2 linked regions of the Anolis sagrei genome follow. The protein of the gene in region 1 purifies or fractionates together with the protein of each later gene. This does not show direct contact. Links are inferred from orthologs where the notes say so. Each region holds a gene or a part of one and is shown on either strand. Other genes may lie near its edges.

The links. Proteins that work in one complex are often made in the same cells at the same time.
Region 2: the proteins of CAPZA2 (region 1) and CRACD purify together in Homo sapiens (affinity purification with mass spectrometry; 3 studies listed by BioGRID and IntAct, counting the BioPlex papers as one, with this or other methods). This does not show direct contact. The link is inferred for Anolis sagrei from reciprocal best matches to the Homo sapiens genes CAPZA2 and CRACD.

Annotation. Positions count from the first base shown.
Region 1 is NC_090025.1:131,056,592-131,064,158, forward strand, and holds the start of CAPZA2 (F-actin-capping protein subunit alpha-2), read right to left. Parts: upstream 3,012-7,567; 5' UTR 2,859-3,011; coding exon 2,820-2,858; intron 1-2,819. UniProt on the Homo sapiens protein: F-actin-capping proteins bind in a Ca(2+)-independent manner to the fast growing ends of actin filaments (barbed end) thereby blocking the exchange of subunits at these ends.
Region 2 is NC_090025.1:73,367,777-73,375,208, forward strand, and holds the start of CRACD (capping protein-inhibiting regulator of actin dynamics), read right to left. Parts: upstream 3,012-7,432; 5' UTR 2,991-3,011; intron 2,742-2,990; exon of another isoform or gene 2,675-2,741; intron 1-2,674. UniProt on the Homo sapiens protein: Involved in epithelial cell integrity by acting on the maintenance of the actin cytoskeleton. Positively regulates the actin polymerization, by inhibiting the interaction of actin-capping proteins with actin.

The DNA of each region.
Region 1 (7,567 bases):
TGTTCAATGCTATGGAATAACTTGACAAGGTCTTTAGAGTTCTCTACAAAATAGTTTCACCAAACTACACTTCCCATTATTCAATAACATTGAGCCATGGCACTTAAAGTGGTGTCAAATTTCATTAATTCTACAGATTAGATGCATCCTCAGAGGATCAAGCTTGAAATGTAGCTTCAAAATGAACATATATTATACCATGTATTCATCTTCTGTAACAATTAACCGGAAATAAACCTCTTTGTCAAGGATTCATTAACCTTTTACACATCCATGAGGTGTTTATCATCACTTAAAGAGAGGGGAAAGATTTAAGAGACAAAAAAATATCATCACCATGTAAAAATTGTTTTGGACCCCATGGATGATGACATGAGGGGCAATCAAATGATATTCACTAAATGTTGATATGCTATCTATACAGGCAGAGGATACCTTATTTAGAAATGTTAAATGCTCCAAAATCTATTATAACATGGGCATCTAAGTCATCTTTCTTAACATGGAATTTATTTATTTATTTATTTATATACCGCTTTTCTCAGCCCTCAGGCAACTCAAAGCAGTGGATACTTTCATGCCTGAAAGTATCCAAAATATTGTGCATAAAATTACCTTCATGCTGTGTGCAAGACGTATAGAAAATATACATAAATGTGGTATTTAGAGGTGGGTCCCATCTCCGATCCTCATTATGTGTAAATATTCCAAAATCAGGAGGGGAAATAAAAAATCTTAAATACTTTTAGTCCCAAGCATTTCAGATAAGGGCAATGCTTATCTATTCTTTTTCTCTCTCTTTTCTTTCACCAGAGCTGAAGTGGCACGGCTGCCCTGCCCAAAACACACCCGAAGACTGGAGGGGACTGCAGGTTAGAGGGAACCAGTCTTGGTTGGCCGATTATTATTATGTATACTGTATTTTTTGTTGGAAATGACAACCTTCTTCAAGCCTTCTCTAATAATGTTTATCTATGATTCTGTTGCTTACTGTTTCCTGAATGTATGTTCTGGTATGCAGCTTCCTTTATGTTTCAATGAAAAGTTGTAAAAGGGGCTGCAGACCATATGCTCTTTTTCTCTCTCCTTTTGACTATGTGAGGTATTGATAGCTATTTTGTTACAAGAGAGATGCTCTGGCGGGATGACACAAAGAATTATCTCAAACATATTTGAAACGGGACTGATAAGTTTTGTACCTGTGCATACTGAACACATGAAGGTTGTGAGCAAACCAAATGTTATTTTTATCAAAGTCTACTTCATTTTTCACTCTTGAGTGCATGATATAAAACAAGCTGTTTTATGGGAGAGTGTATATATTTTGGGCACTGAAACCCACTTCTCAAACTCTGCAGTTTTTGTGAGCTGGTAAAATCTCTGTTTTTCTAAAAGAGCAGATATAATAGGTTATTCAGTCTAACAACTGAATAATTATATTTGGTTGTATGCTATTCTCCAAAAGGCGCTTTCCAAAAGGTTATGAATGCCATTTTCCAAAAATGTTTCCACTGTGAGCCGCCCCAAGTTCCTTCAGGAGGAGGGGCCAGGATATAAATAAATTGGATTATGATTATTATTTGGTCACATGACAAAAATATACTAGTTTGACACCACTTTAAACTGATATGACTCAATGTTATCTGGGGAGAGCAAGTTGAGCTTCCCCTGTCAGCTCCAGCTCCCCATGCGGGGACATGAGAAAAGGATGGTAAATCATCACACATCTGGGCAGATGGCTAATTCTCTCACACCATAAGCGACTTGCAGTTTCTCAAGTTGCTCCCGACAGGAGAAAAAATGTCATCAAGCTCTGGCATTCGCAAGCCCTGTGAGAGCTGTGGTGTCCTGGCATTGGATAAATCCTAGAATATTACAGATTGAGCCCTGGAAATTGAAGCGGTCTCAAACTGTAATGATTCTGCAGTGTGACTACATCACTTAGGGGAAGAAAATAGGTGCCTCAACAAACTACGAATCCCAGGATGCATCTACACCAGGCAATTCCTGTTAGAAATTGGGGTGCTGAAGTCCAAAACACCTGGAAGGCCAAAATTTGCAGAAGCCAGATCTATATATTGAGGGCCCTTCCTGACAGGCCCTATATCCCAGGATCTCATACCAGGTTTTCTGCTTAAAACTGTATTATACGAGTCTCCACTGCCAGATAATATGGAAAAAACAGAAAACCTGGGATCAGATCCTGAGAGATAGGGCCTTTCTGGAAGGGGCCTGAGTCCCCTTTGGGAAGATAAAGCCGGGTATAAATAAATATAATAATAATAATGCACTGTGGATTGAGTGCAGTGTGACTGCACTTTCCCTACCAAAGCTCAATGCTATGGGGTTCTGGGATTTGGAGTGAGGCGCTCTTGAGCAGAGAAGGCTCGAGGCCTTGTGAAACTAGAACTCCCAGGATCTTCCTACATTGAGCCCTGGCAGTTCAAAGGCGACCTAGAGTGCCTCTGCCCCGCCAGGACACTCTCGCCTACTTCAGGCCAGAGGAAAGCAGGGGCTGGCTGGAGGCGCCAATGGAGGCAGCAGCAGAAAAGGAGAACAGAAGAGGAAGAGGAGGAGGAGGAAGCGGGCTGCTGGCTCGTCCCCCAGACACCAGATCGGCCCCAGCCTATTTTCAGCGCTCGGACCGTACAAGGAGCGGCGAGAGGCCTAGGCGGCAAGAGGGCGCCAGGAGGGCCCCCTTCCTCTTCCTCCTCTGGCCCCTATGCCTGCCCTCTCCAGGAAGCTCCCTCAGGCTCCTCGCCTTCTTGGGCTTCCCTCGGCCTCCCGCCTCTCTCTCCCTTCCTCTGGGCCCCCCTCACCTTCTCCTCGTCGGAGAGCTGGTCCTCCAGGTCCGCCATCTTCGTTTCTGACCCTCGAGGAGAAGAAGGAGAGGCGGCGGGAGGAGGAAGAGAAGGAGGAAGAGCCGCAACAGCAGCCAAGGCCCAGCCGCCCGCCTCCGCCCCGCGCTCGAGCAGCAGCAGCAGCAGCGGCAGCAGCGGCAGCAGGAAGGGCGGGGCTCCGGATGCCACCGAGGGAGGGAAAGGGGCGGGGGCGCGCGCCGCAGGAGCCGGCGGAGGAGCCAATAGAAAGCCGGAGCGCGAGCATGCGCACACATGCAGAGTGAAGCCTTTTCCAGGAGTAAGGGCGGATACGAGGCAGGTTCCAGTCTTTTTTTGGGAAAGGCTTCCTTCCTGCACTCACTAATATTCTGGGTTATATGGCTATGTGGAAGAATCTTCCACACAGCCATATAACCCAGAATATCAAGGCAGAAAATCCCACAATATCTGCTTTGAACTGGGTTTTCTGAGTCCACACTGCCATATATTCTGGGTTTATTTATTTATTTATTTACGACATTCATATTCCACTCTTTTCACTCTTAAGGAAGGACATGAGAGAAGCCTCCCACAAGGATGATAAAAACATCAAATCATCCGGGCGTCCTCGCAGACGGCCAATTCTCTCACAACAGAAGCGACTTGCAGTCACTCCTGACACGACAAAAAAAGAAAACCCTTAAGGGGACTCAGAGTGGCTTATTTGTACATACAATATATTCTATTATTAGCATTACTCAATATTAGTAATATATATTACTGTATTGTACGATAGCACTATACTGCAATATTATTAGTAATATTACTTCTATATAAATAAAAATGTAATTTTCGTTTGTGGGATTAACAGAACTCAAAAACCACTGGACGAATTGACACCAAATTTGGACACAAGACACCTAACATACCCAATGTATGTCCCTCACTTAAAAAAAATTGATTTTGTCATTTGGGAGTTGTAGTTGCTGGGATTTATAGTTTACCTACAATCAAAGAGCATTTTGAACCCCACAAACGATAGAATCGGGGCAAACTTCCCACACAGAACCCCCATGACCAACAGAAAATACTAAAGGCCATCCAATCCAACTCCCTTCATCAGGGCAAGAAAACGTAATCAAAGTCCTGCCATCCAGCCATAGAGATAGATAGATAGATAGAGAGTTGTAGCTGCTGAGATTTATAGTTCACCTACAATCAAATAGCATGATAGAATTGAACCAACCGGGGCATACAGGACTCCTGTGACCAACAGAAGACTCTAGAAGGGTTTGGTGAGCATTGACCTTGAGTTTGGTAGTTATCATTCACCTCCATCCAGAGACTACCATGGACTCAAACAATGATGGCTCTGGACCAAACTTGGTACGAATATTCCATATGCCCAAATATGAACACAGATGGAGTTTGGGGAAAATAGACCTTGACATTTGGGAGTTGTAGTTACTGGGATTCATAGTTCACCTACAATCAAAGAGCGTTCTGAACCCTACCAACGACAGAATCGGGGCAAACTTCCCACACAGAATCCCCATGACCAACAGAAAATACTCAAAGCCATCTAGTCCAACTCCCTTCACCAGGACAAGGAAATGTAATCAAAGCCCTCCTGACAAAGAGCCATCCAGCCATAGATAGAGATAGATAGGATTCACACACACACAGATATAGTATCATAGATTTGAAAGGGACCCCTAAAGAAGGACAATTGTATGTTGCATGTTCCAGAGTAGGCAAACCAGACACTCTCCACATCAACACTGACAAAGAAACAGCAAGAAATACTGTTTACCCACAAGCATAAAGGAATTATATATATTAGAAACCAACACTTTCTCATTACCTTATTTTCCAGATCAACAGACTGGGCCCAGCAATGTGTGGCAGGGGACAGCTAGTATATTATATTATTAGCATTGCACAATATTAGTATTATATATTACTATATTGTACGATACCACTACACTACAATATTATTAGTAATACATGTAATATATAATTACTTAATATTATATTGTATTACAATATTATGACCAATAGCATATGCGCATATAAAATATTATTAGCATAGCACAAGATTAGATCTTCTGGGGATGCTCTTCTCTTGCCCCACCCCTGTCTCAGACGCGGCTGGTGGGGACGAGAGGGGGGGGCATTCTCGGTGGTGGCCCCAAATCTCTGGAATTCCCTCCCCAGGGAGATTAGGCTGGCACCCTCCCTAGCCGCATACCACAAGGAATTGAAAACGTGGATGTTTCTTTGTGCATTTGATTGAGTCATGATCTGAACCCATCCTTGAATTCCTATATCACATTATTATATTATATCTATATATATATAAATGCTCTGTGCATAATGAGTTCCTTAAAAACAAAACAAAAACTACAGGGCCAAATGACCCCACATTTGGCAACAAAACTCCTCATGATCCAAGGAGTGATCATCACTGAAAAATCCCACGAAACACCTTTAAATTCAAAAAAGGAAGAAGACAACACACCTCCCCTACCCCCCTCACACTGAGGACACAGAATGAGGGTTCCGAAGCAGCAGCGGCTGCAATGTTTGCTGCTGCCTGCATGTCTCCTTCCCTTCCTCCCTTTCTTTCCTTCCTTTTTCTCCTTCCCTCACCAGCTTCATCCTCCTTTATTAAATCTACAGTGTAGATGCACCCAAAATCAAACCTTCCACACTGCCATGTAAAATCCAGATTATCTACTTAGGACTGGATTATATGGCAGTGTAGACACTCACACAGATGGATGTTGGTGTGATGTGTGTGTGTAATACTTTATATATTACTATTATATATATTGCTATATCATATATATTACATTATATATATTATTGTTATATACAGCACTATATAATATAATGTTACTACTATATATTACTATATTAAATAGACTCATAGAATAGACTTAGAAGGGACTCTGCCATGGTATTGGGGGAAAACAGACAGGAAGAAAGGAGAGAAGAAAGGAGGGAGGGGAAAAGGGAAGGAAGGAAGGAGAGAAGGAAGGAAGGGGAAAAAAGAGGTATTGAAAGAAGGAAGGAAGGAGAAAAGGAAAGAAAAAGTGAAAGAAGGATGGAAACAGGGAGGGAAGAAAGGAGACAAAGGAAGAAGTAGAGAAAGGAGGAGGGAAGAAAGGAAAGAGAGAAGGAAGGATGAAACCAAAGAGCGAAAGAAGGAATGAAAGAAAGAGGTTCATCTGACATGAACCCCATATCTCTTGCTCCAGGTGGCAGATATTTTTTATGTTCTCCACAAACGCCCCATCTGTATGTTTTCCACAAACGCCCCATCACTTTTTCTCCCATGTTCCAGCACTACTTCCAATTTTAATTTTACATTTGGCCTTCCCACAGTTTTAATCGTGTGGTTTTATTGTTAATGTTGCGTTATTTTATTGTCCATGTTTTATTTTAATTGCTGTTGTTATTATTGCATGTATTGTTGTATTTGGGCTCGGCCTCATATAAGCCGCACCGAGTCCCTTGGGGAGATGGTAGCGGGGTACAAATAAAGTGTTGTTGTTGTTGTTGTTGTTGTTGTTGTTGTTGTTGTTGTTATTTATTAGGAGCATTGCAGACCAGAGCAGGTGACTGCTGCTCAAGACTCAGAACCAGCTGAACTCCCTGTCACATTGCTAAGAAAATATCAGGACTTTGCAGAAGTCTTTCTTAACAAGGAGGTTGATAATTTCCCAACATACTGACCATATGACTGTATAATTGACCTGGTACCCTCATTCTGCAGTGATTTACCTAAGATCCACGCTCGACAAGCATATGCTAAAACCAGAAGGGCCAGGGCAGAGAAACAACTCAACAGGATGAAGACAAGCCACTGAAATTGACTGCGATTTGGCCAAAAAGGATACAAGTGTAAATAATTTGCTTCAAAATGTACAAGCATAACGGTATGGAGAAAGGCAAGATATCTTATACAGTTCTGACAGCCATTCAAACCTCCTGCTCCCTCCTCTGATTGGCCAAAAAAGAGGCTGACAGGATTTATGCCACGAATATTGGCTGGGGATTGGTCAGGAAAAGGGCTTTTGGGACTCCCCCAGGAAGAAAATACTAGGGATATGTTGATGAACTTTTAATTAGCTCAGCTGTCCAATTCTGTGCCAAACAATGATACAGGGCTCAGGAAGCAAAGGTACAACAATCAGGGGTCAATCCTGGGTAATCAAAAGTTAGGTTGTCAAATAAAAGTGTTAATGAATGCACATATGTTTAAGTCTTTGGGGGAATCACACAAGCATTTCTGAGCTAATCTGGCTGGCATGGGAGATTGTCTACCTTTACATATAAACAATTAATCTGATTCTTATCTGGCATGGGAAACAGCCAAGGGGATTTGTCCCACCTTTCTATTCTTAGGGGATTATTTTAGCAGGGTCATGGAGGATGGCTTTCCCTAGGCTACATTTTGTACATTTTTTAAACAGTTCTTATACAGTGTATATAGAAAATATATACAGTGTATAGTTAAAAGATAGAAGTTACACAAAATCATAAAGTTGATACAGTTTATTGAAGGGTTAGATACAATAAAGTTCTTGTGGGTTTTTTCGGGCTATATGGCCATGTTCTAGAGGCATTTCTCCTGACGTTTCGCCTGCATCTATGGCAGGCATCCTCAGAGGGTGAGGTCTGGAGCTGGGAAAAAGGGGGTTTATATATCTGTTGATGAACTGTTGATGATCCACAGATAT
Region 2 (7,432 bases), about 58 Mb from region 1:
AATCATAGGTTGTGGATTATTTCCAAACTCTGACCCAGTCAGCAACAATAGCCATCAGCCACCATTGTGGGGGAGAGAGGAAGGTAGGCAAAGACTTCTGGAAAGTCCTGGCAAATTCTTATGTAGTGATTCTCTTATGTGATGTATGTGTCGTTTTTAATGTTTTTAATGTCTCTTGATGCTACCTGTGTGTCACTAGGGAAAAGTTTGAGATCCCAAAGGTGAGATATACATTACAGTCACTAACATAATAAAGGCAGTTTGAGAAAAAGGTAAGTATTTTAGTTCGTTCTAATAAATGTGTATTAGAGCACAGTGATACATTAATAAATGTTATCAATTTAATAACAAAACTCCCCTGTTATTTTCTTACTACTATGCTATTTTTGGAGCCCCCGGTGGCGCACTGGGTTAAACCACTGAGCTGCTGAACTTGCTGACCGAAAGGTCGGTGGTTCGAATCTGGGAAGCGGAGGAGCTCCCACTGTTAGCCCCAGCTTCTGCCAACCTTGCAGTTCAAAAACATGCAAATGTGAGTAGATCAATAGGTACCGCTCTGACAGGAAGGTAGTGGTGCTCCATGCAGCCACATGACCTTGCAGATGACCACAGCAAGATTTGTTGACTAAAAATCATATTAATAGTATAGATACATTTTGTACTATTTATAGTACAAGAGGCCATGATGGTACAGCGGGTTAAACTGCTAAGCTGCAGAACTTGCTGATTGGAAGGTCGGCAGTTCAAATCCATGGGACAGGGTGAGCTCCCGTTGTTAGCCCCAGCTTCTGCTAACCTAGCAGTTCGAAAACATGCAAATGTGAGTAGATCTATAGGTACCGTTCCAACAGGAAGGCAGGGGTGCTCCATGCAGCCACATGACCTTGGAGGTATCTATGGACACATCCTTTTTTTATTTTTTTCCTTAATGTCCTTGTCTTTGTTCTGTTTTCTCTTATTTGGCTCCTGAGATTAGGGTTTATTATTATTATTATTATTATTATTATTATTATTATTTTCTCCCAATGTCTACTTCCCAGCTCTTTCCCTTTTCCTAACTTTCCTATCCGAAAATTGTTCTCACTCCTTCGATGTTTTATTTTATTTTTTCAAGGTATATTACAATAAAAAATTAACTTAAAAATAGTATATAGATACATTTTGTACTATTTATAGTACAAGCGGCCATGGTGGTACAGCAGGTTAAACTGCTAAGCTGCAGAACTTGCTTACTGGAAGGTCGGCAGCTCAAATCCATGGGACAGGGTGAGCTCCCGTTGTTAACCCCAGCTTCTGCCAACCTAGCAGTTCGAAAACATGCACATGCAAATGCAAATGTGAGTAGATCAATAGGTACTGTTCCGACAGGAAGGTAGTGGTGCTCCATGCAGCCACATGACCTTGAAGGTGTCAATGGACATATTTTTTTTTCTTTTCCCCCTAATGTCCTTGTCTTTGTTCTGTTTTCTCTTATTTGGCTCCCTAGATTAGGGTATTATTATTATTATTATTATTATTATTATTATTATTATTATTATTTGAAACACAAAATGAGTCCACAGCAGACACTCTGCTGGCTGCTGAATTGGATCACATGTCGGACACTTCCCAAGTGTCTAGGACTGTGTGATGTATCGGCGAATAATGCATGCAGATCCCAGTAAGGTGGCCTTCTGCAGCTGGCAGATGGTAATTTATTATTATTATTATTATTATTATTATTATTATTATTATTTTCTCCCAGTGTCTATTTCCCGGCTCTTTCCCTTTTCCTAACTTTCCTATCTGAAAATTGTTCTCACTCTTTTGATGTTTTATTTTCTTTTTTCAAGGTATATTACAATAAAAAAATAACTTAAAAATAGTATATAGATACATTTTGTACTATTTATATTACAAGCGGCCATGGTGGTACAGTGGGTTAAACTGCTAAGCTGCAGAACTTGCTGACTGGAAGGTCAGCAGCTCAAATCCGTGGGACAGGATGAGCTCCCGTGTTAGCCCCTGCTTCTGCGAACCTAGCAGTTCGAGAACATGCAAATGTGAGTAGATCAATAGGTACCACTCTTGACGGGTAGTGGTGCTCCATGCAGCCACATGACCTTGAAGATGACCACAGAGGGATTTGTTGACTAAAAATAATATTAATAGTATATAGATACCTTTTGTACTATTTATAGTACAAGCAGCCATGGTGGTACAGCGTGTTAAACTGCTAAGCTGCAGAACTTGCTGACTGGAAGGTCAGCAGCTCAAATCCGTGGGACAGGGTGAGCTCCCATTGTTAGCCCCAGCTTCTGCCAACCTAGCAGTTCGAAAACATGCAAATCTGAGTAAATCAATAAATACTGCTCTTGACGGGTAGTGATGCTCCATGCAACCACATGACCTTGGAGGTGTCTATGGATAACGCCAGCTCTTTGGCTTAGAATTGGAGATGAGAACCAACCCCCGGAGTCGGACACAACTAGACTTAATGTCAGGGGAAAACATTTACCTTTACCTACTATACTATTTGGATTTACAAAGTGAACTATTCTACGATTATTTCCAATTCACATATGAAATCCCTCAATACACCCATTGCAAACATCTCACAAGCCCTCTTTTGGGAAGAAGCATATATGTGGGGACTAGGAAACCCAAATGAATTGCCGGCTTTGCAAGTACTCACTGTTGTGGATGGAAGCGACACTTTCCCTTCTCCCTACTGACCTCTTCCCGTCTCCCAGCAGCTCAGTTTCAGCAGTGCTATTGTTAACCATATTAAAATTTCAACATGTGCCTGTCGTGGTTTCTAGTTTTCCTTTAACCCCTTGAACATTGAAAAGGGATCATGCTCTAAATCCCACAGAGTCCTTGCAAAATTCTCCTAGGAATCTGCACTTTTCTTTACATCAGTTGTATTCCTCTTAATTTAGCTATTTGTGAGAGTGAAGCAATGTCAGAAGTAAAGACATAAACAAATCACATTAAAATGAATGACCTACCTATGCAGATTTTTGGGAATGAATAATCTATCTCCATCTGATTCCATGAATGAATATCTATGGCAGATTTTTTTCTTTTAATGAAAAACAAGTCAAAACCAGTTTCTCATTCATGGCAGTGTGTAACCTTCAATGCACTTGATACAACAGGGGGGAGGGGGGGAGTTAGCAGGGGAGGAAGAAATGCACAGAAAACTATACCATCTTTCAACCATGACAACTGGCACATTTCACAGCTCATTAAAATATGGTGACCGACTCTTGTGATAAATGGCTTTTTGAGAAGGGCAGACAAAGCAATGCAGCTCTGAAATGAGGAGAGGAAGGAGGAAGAAGCGTCACCCTTTTTCTCTCCGTCTCTAGCCAAATTAAAGCATGACGGAAAGCCAAACCTTTTTCGTGGGTGGCAAGACTGAAATGAGTGAGTGTCTTACAATCATGGGCATCTTGGTATGGAAGAAATACAGTGTGTTTGTGTATATATAGATATAAACACACACACACACACACATTCACCTATATATAAATCCATCTATCTCTCTAAATATATATACAAATACCAATTCACATAAATATGAAGTCAGATATAGATATATACACACACACACCAATTCATTAATCTATAAATACACACAAACACAGAGTCATTCACACATACACCAATTCACACATATAGTCATATACTGTTGTATATATACACACAGCTCAAGTCATATGTGTATATGTGTCTATGTGTGCATGTGTGTATATATATACACACACAGAGTTATATATGTGTGTGTGTGTCTATGTATATTTATGTATATGTGTGTATGTAAATAATTATATACACACACACACTATATATATATATATATATATATATAGTGTGTGTGTGTATATAATTATTTACATACACACATATACATATATACACACACCGTTATATGTGTGTGTGTATAGTGTGTGTGTATATATATAATTACATACACACTCACATATACATATATATATATATATACACACCCTGTTATATATGTGTGTCTGTGTATATACTATATATGTGTGTGTGTATAGTGTGGGTATGTGTGTGTATATATAATTACATACACACTCACACACACATACAAACACACACACACCCGTTATATATGTGTGTGTCTGTGTCTGCGTATATACTATATATGTGTGTGTGTGTGTGTGTATGTATATGTATAGTGTGTGTGTATGTATAGAGAGATATCTTGGTGTGTGTGTATATATATAATTAATTACACACACACACACACTGATATATATATATATATATATATATATATAATACACACACATGCACACCCAATCATATGTATGCATGTTTGAGCTATGTGTGTGTGTGCGTATGTATGTGTGTGTGTGTGTGTGTGTGTGTATATATATATATATATATATATATACACACACACATATACACACACACACACATATATATATGAGAGAGAGAGACTTGGAGGTGTGTATATATTATATATAGACAGACACACATAAACACACACACACACCAAGTCTCTCTCATATATATATATATGGATAGATATGGATATATATATATACACACACACACACACACAGCCCAAACATGTCTAGATATAATATATACACACACACACATATATAAAAATTGATACACATACACACCCCAAGTCATGTCATGCCATATATATATATGATACACACACCCCAAGTCATATGTATATACACACACCCATATATAAATGGAGATATGCTCATACATACATATATAAATGGAGATACACACACACACACTCCAAAGGCTCTCTCTGAACCCAGTGCCAAGAGAAGCCATGGCTTCAATGCCACTGTGATGGTGGCTCTCCTTTCCCTCCCTTCCTTTGCCTGTCTGCCCCCTTCATTGATGCCCAAGCATCAGTGGGACTTCTGAGAGGAGGGTCACCTTCTGCCAGGGAAGCAGACATGGGGCGGGGGACCCCCAAAAGCCCTCCTCCTCCTCCTCTCTTTCCCTGAGGCGAGACAGGCACACAACAAAGGGGTCCTCCTACCTCTCTCTGTCTCCTGGAAGGTGTCTCTGAGGCGCGGGAATGAGGGAACGGGGTCGGGCTCGCCTCCCTCGCGCCACGCAGCCTCCTCGCCGGCCCTCGTCATTGCCCGCCGCCTCCAATGGCGAAAGCAGAGGAGGGAGCAGCCTCGCTCTGGGTCGTCCTCGCTCTGGCTTTGTGTTGTGGTTGTTATTGTTGTTATTATTATGACTATGTTCGCCAACTCCTAAGCCTGGCAGCTCCTTGGCGGTGAGGAGAGAGGCGTGGCTTGCTGGCTGGCTGGCTTGGGAGAGGAGAGAGAAAGGGCGCCCTCATGCCATCCTCCTCCTCAGGACTTGTGACACTTTTACATGCTCCACACACCACACTCTTTCTGGTCGCAGAGTGTGGTGTGTGAAGCATTTAAAAGCACCACTGCAGCACACCCAAATACCTGGGAGCCACTCTGAAGCTAAGAAAGAACAGTGGATCAAGCTGATCACAGAGGGCGACATGGGCAGGAGCAGCCAGAAGGCGTGGAGGTTGCTAAGATGGTTGAGCAACGATCCCTCACAAACTAATACCCATGCCAACATAAAGGCAGATCAGATAGCACACCAACTCTTGAAGAATGGGAAACCCAACTTTACCACCAAAGTAGGAAAGAAACCAATAGCCAGGCAAGGAGAGATTGAGAACAACAACCTTCATGAACCCTTTACATCTACTGAATTGGACATGGCTCTCAATAAATGTAAAAATGGCAAAGCAGCTGGCCTGGATGATCTACGGATGGAACAAATCAAGAAATTTGGCCCAAAAGCAAGGCGCTGGCTGCTGGAGCTGATGAACAACTGCACTACATCCTGTCAGATCCCCAAAATCTGGAGGAAAGCAAGAGTCATCGCCATCTTGAAGCCAGGCAAAGACCATAATGACCCAAAAAGCTACAGACCAATCTCCCTCCTGTGCCACCTCTACAAAGTTCTGGAGAGACTTATTTTGCATAGAATTACGGAAAAAAATAGACCCCTGTCTGATCCCACAGCATGCTGGCTTCAGAAAAGGCAAAAGCTGCACATCGCAAGTGTTGAACCTGACTCAGCACATAGAAGATGGCTTTGAAAGGCAGCAGATTACAGGAGCTGTCTTCATAGACCTGTCAGCAGCCTATGATACTGTGAACCACCGCCTCCTCCTGAGAAAAATGTATAATATCACAAAGGACTACCACCTCACCCACCTCATAGGAAACCTGCTACAAAACAGGAGCTTTTTTGTTGAGTTCCAGGGCCAGAGAAGCAGATGGCGGAAACAGAAGAACGGCCTGCCTCAGGGGAGCATGCTTGCTCCATCCATGTTCAACATCTACACAAATGACCAGCCACTGCCAGAAAGGACAGAGAGTTTCATCTATGCTGATGATCGTGCCATTACTGCTCAAGCAGGGAGCTTTGAGATGGTAGAACAGAAGCTTTCCAAATCTCTAGGTGCTCTTACTGCCTATTACAGGGAAAACCTTCTGATCCCCAACCCATCTAAAACACAGACATGTGCCTTTCATCTCAAGAACAGAGAAGCATCCCGAGCTCTGAAGATCACCTGGGAAGGAATCCCACTGGAGCATTGCAGCGCACCCAAATACCTGGGAGTCACTCTGGACCGTGCTCTTACCTACAAGAAGCACTGCCTGAACATCAAGCAAAAAGTGGGTGCTAGAAACAATATCATACGAAAGCTGACTGGCATAACCTGGGGATCACAACCAGACACAGTGAAGACATCTGCCCTTGCGCTTTGCTACTCTGCTGCTGAGTATGCATGTCCAGTGTGGAACACATCTCACCACGCTAAAACAGTGGCTGTGGCTCTTAATGAGACATGCTGCATTATCACAGGGTGTCTGCGCCCTACACCACTGGAGAAATTACATCGTTTAGCCGGTATTGCACCATTTGACATCCGCCGGGAAGTAACAGCTAATAGTGAAAGGATCAAGGCAGTGACATCTCCAACCCATCCCTTGTTTGGGTATCAGCCAGCACGTCAACGACTTAAATCAAGAAATAGTTTTCTAAGATTTACAGAGACACTCGCTGGAACATCTCAGCAAGTGAGAGTCCAAAAGTGGCAGGCTCAAACCCAGAACCTCAATCAGTGGCTGATACCAAATGAGGGACTCCCTCCTGGGCACACAGAAAACTGGGCGGCTTGGAAGGCACTGAACAGATTGCGCTCTGGCACCATGAGATGCAGAGCAAACCTTAAGAAATGGGGCTACAAAGTGGAATCCACGACATGCGAGTGTGGAGAAGAGCAAACCACTGACCACCTGCTGCAATGCAACCTGAGCCCTGCTACATGCACAATGGAGAACCTCTCTGCGGCAACACCAGAGGCACTCCAAGTGGCCAGATACTTGTCAAA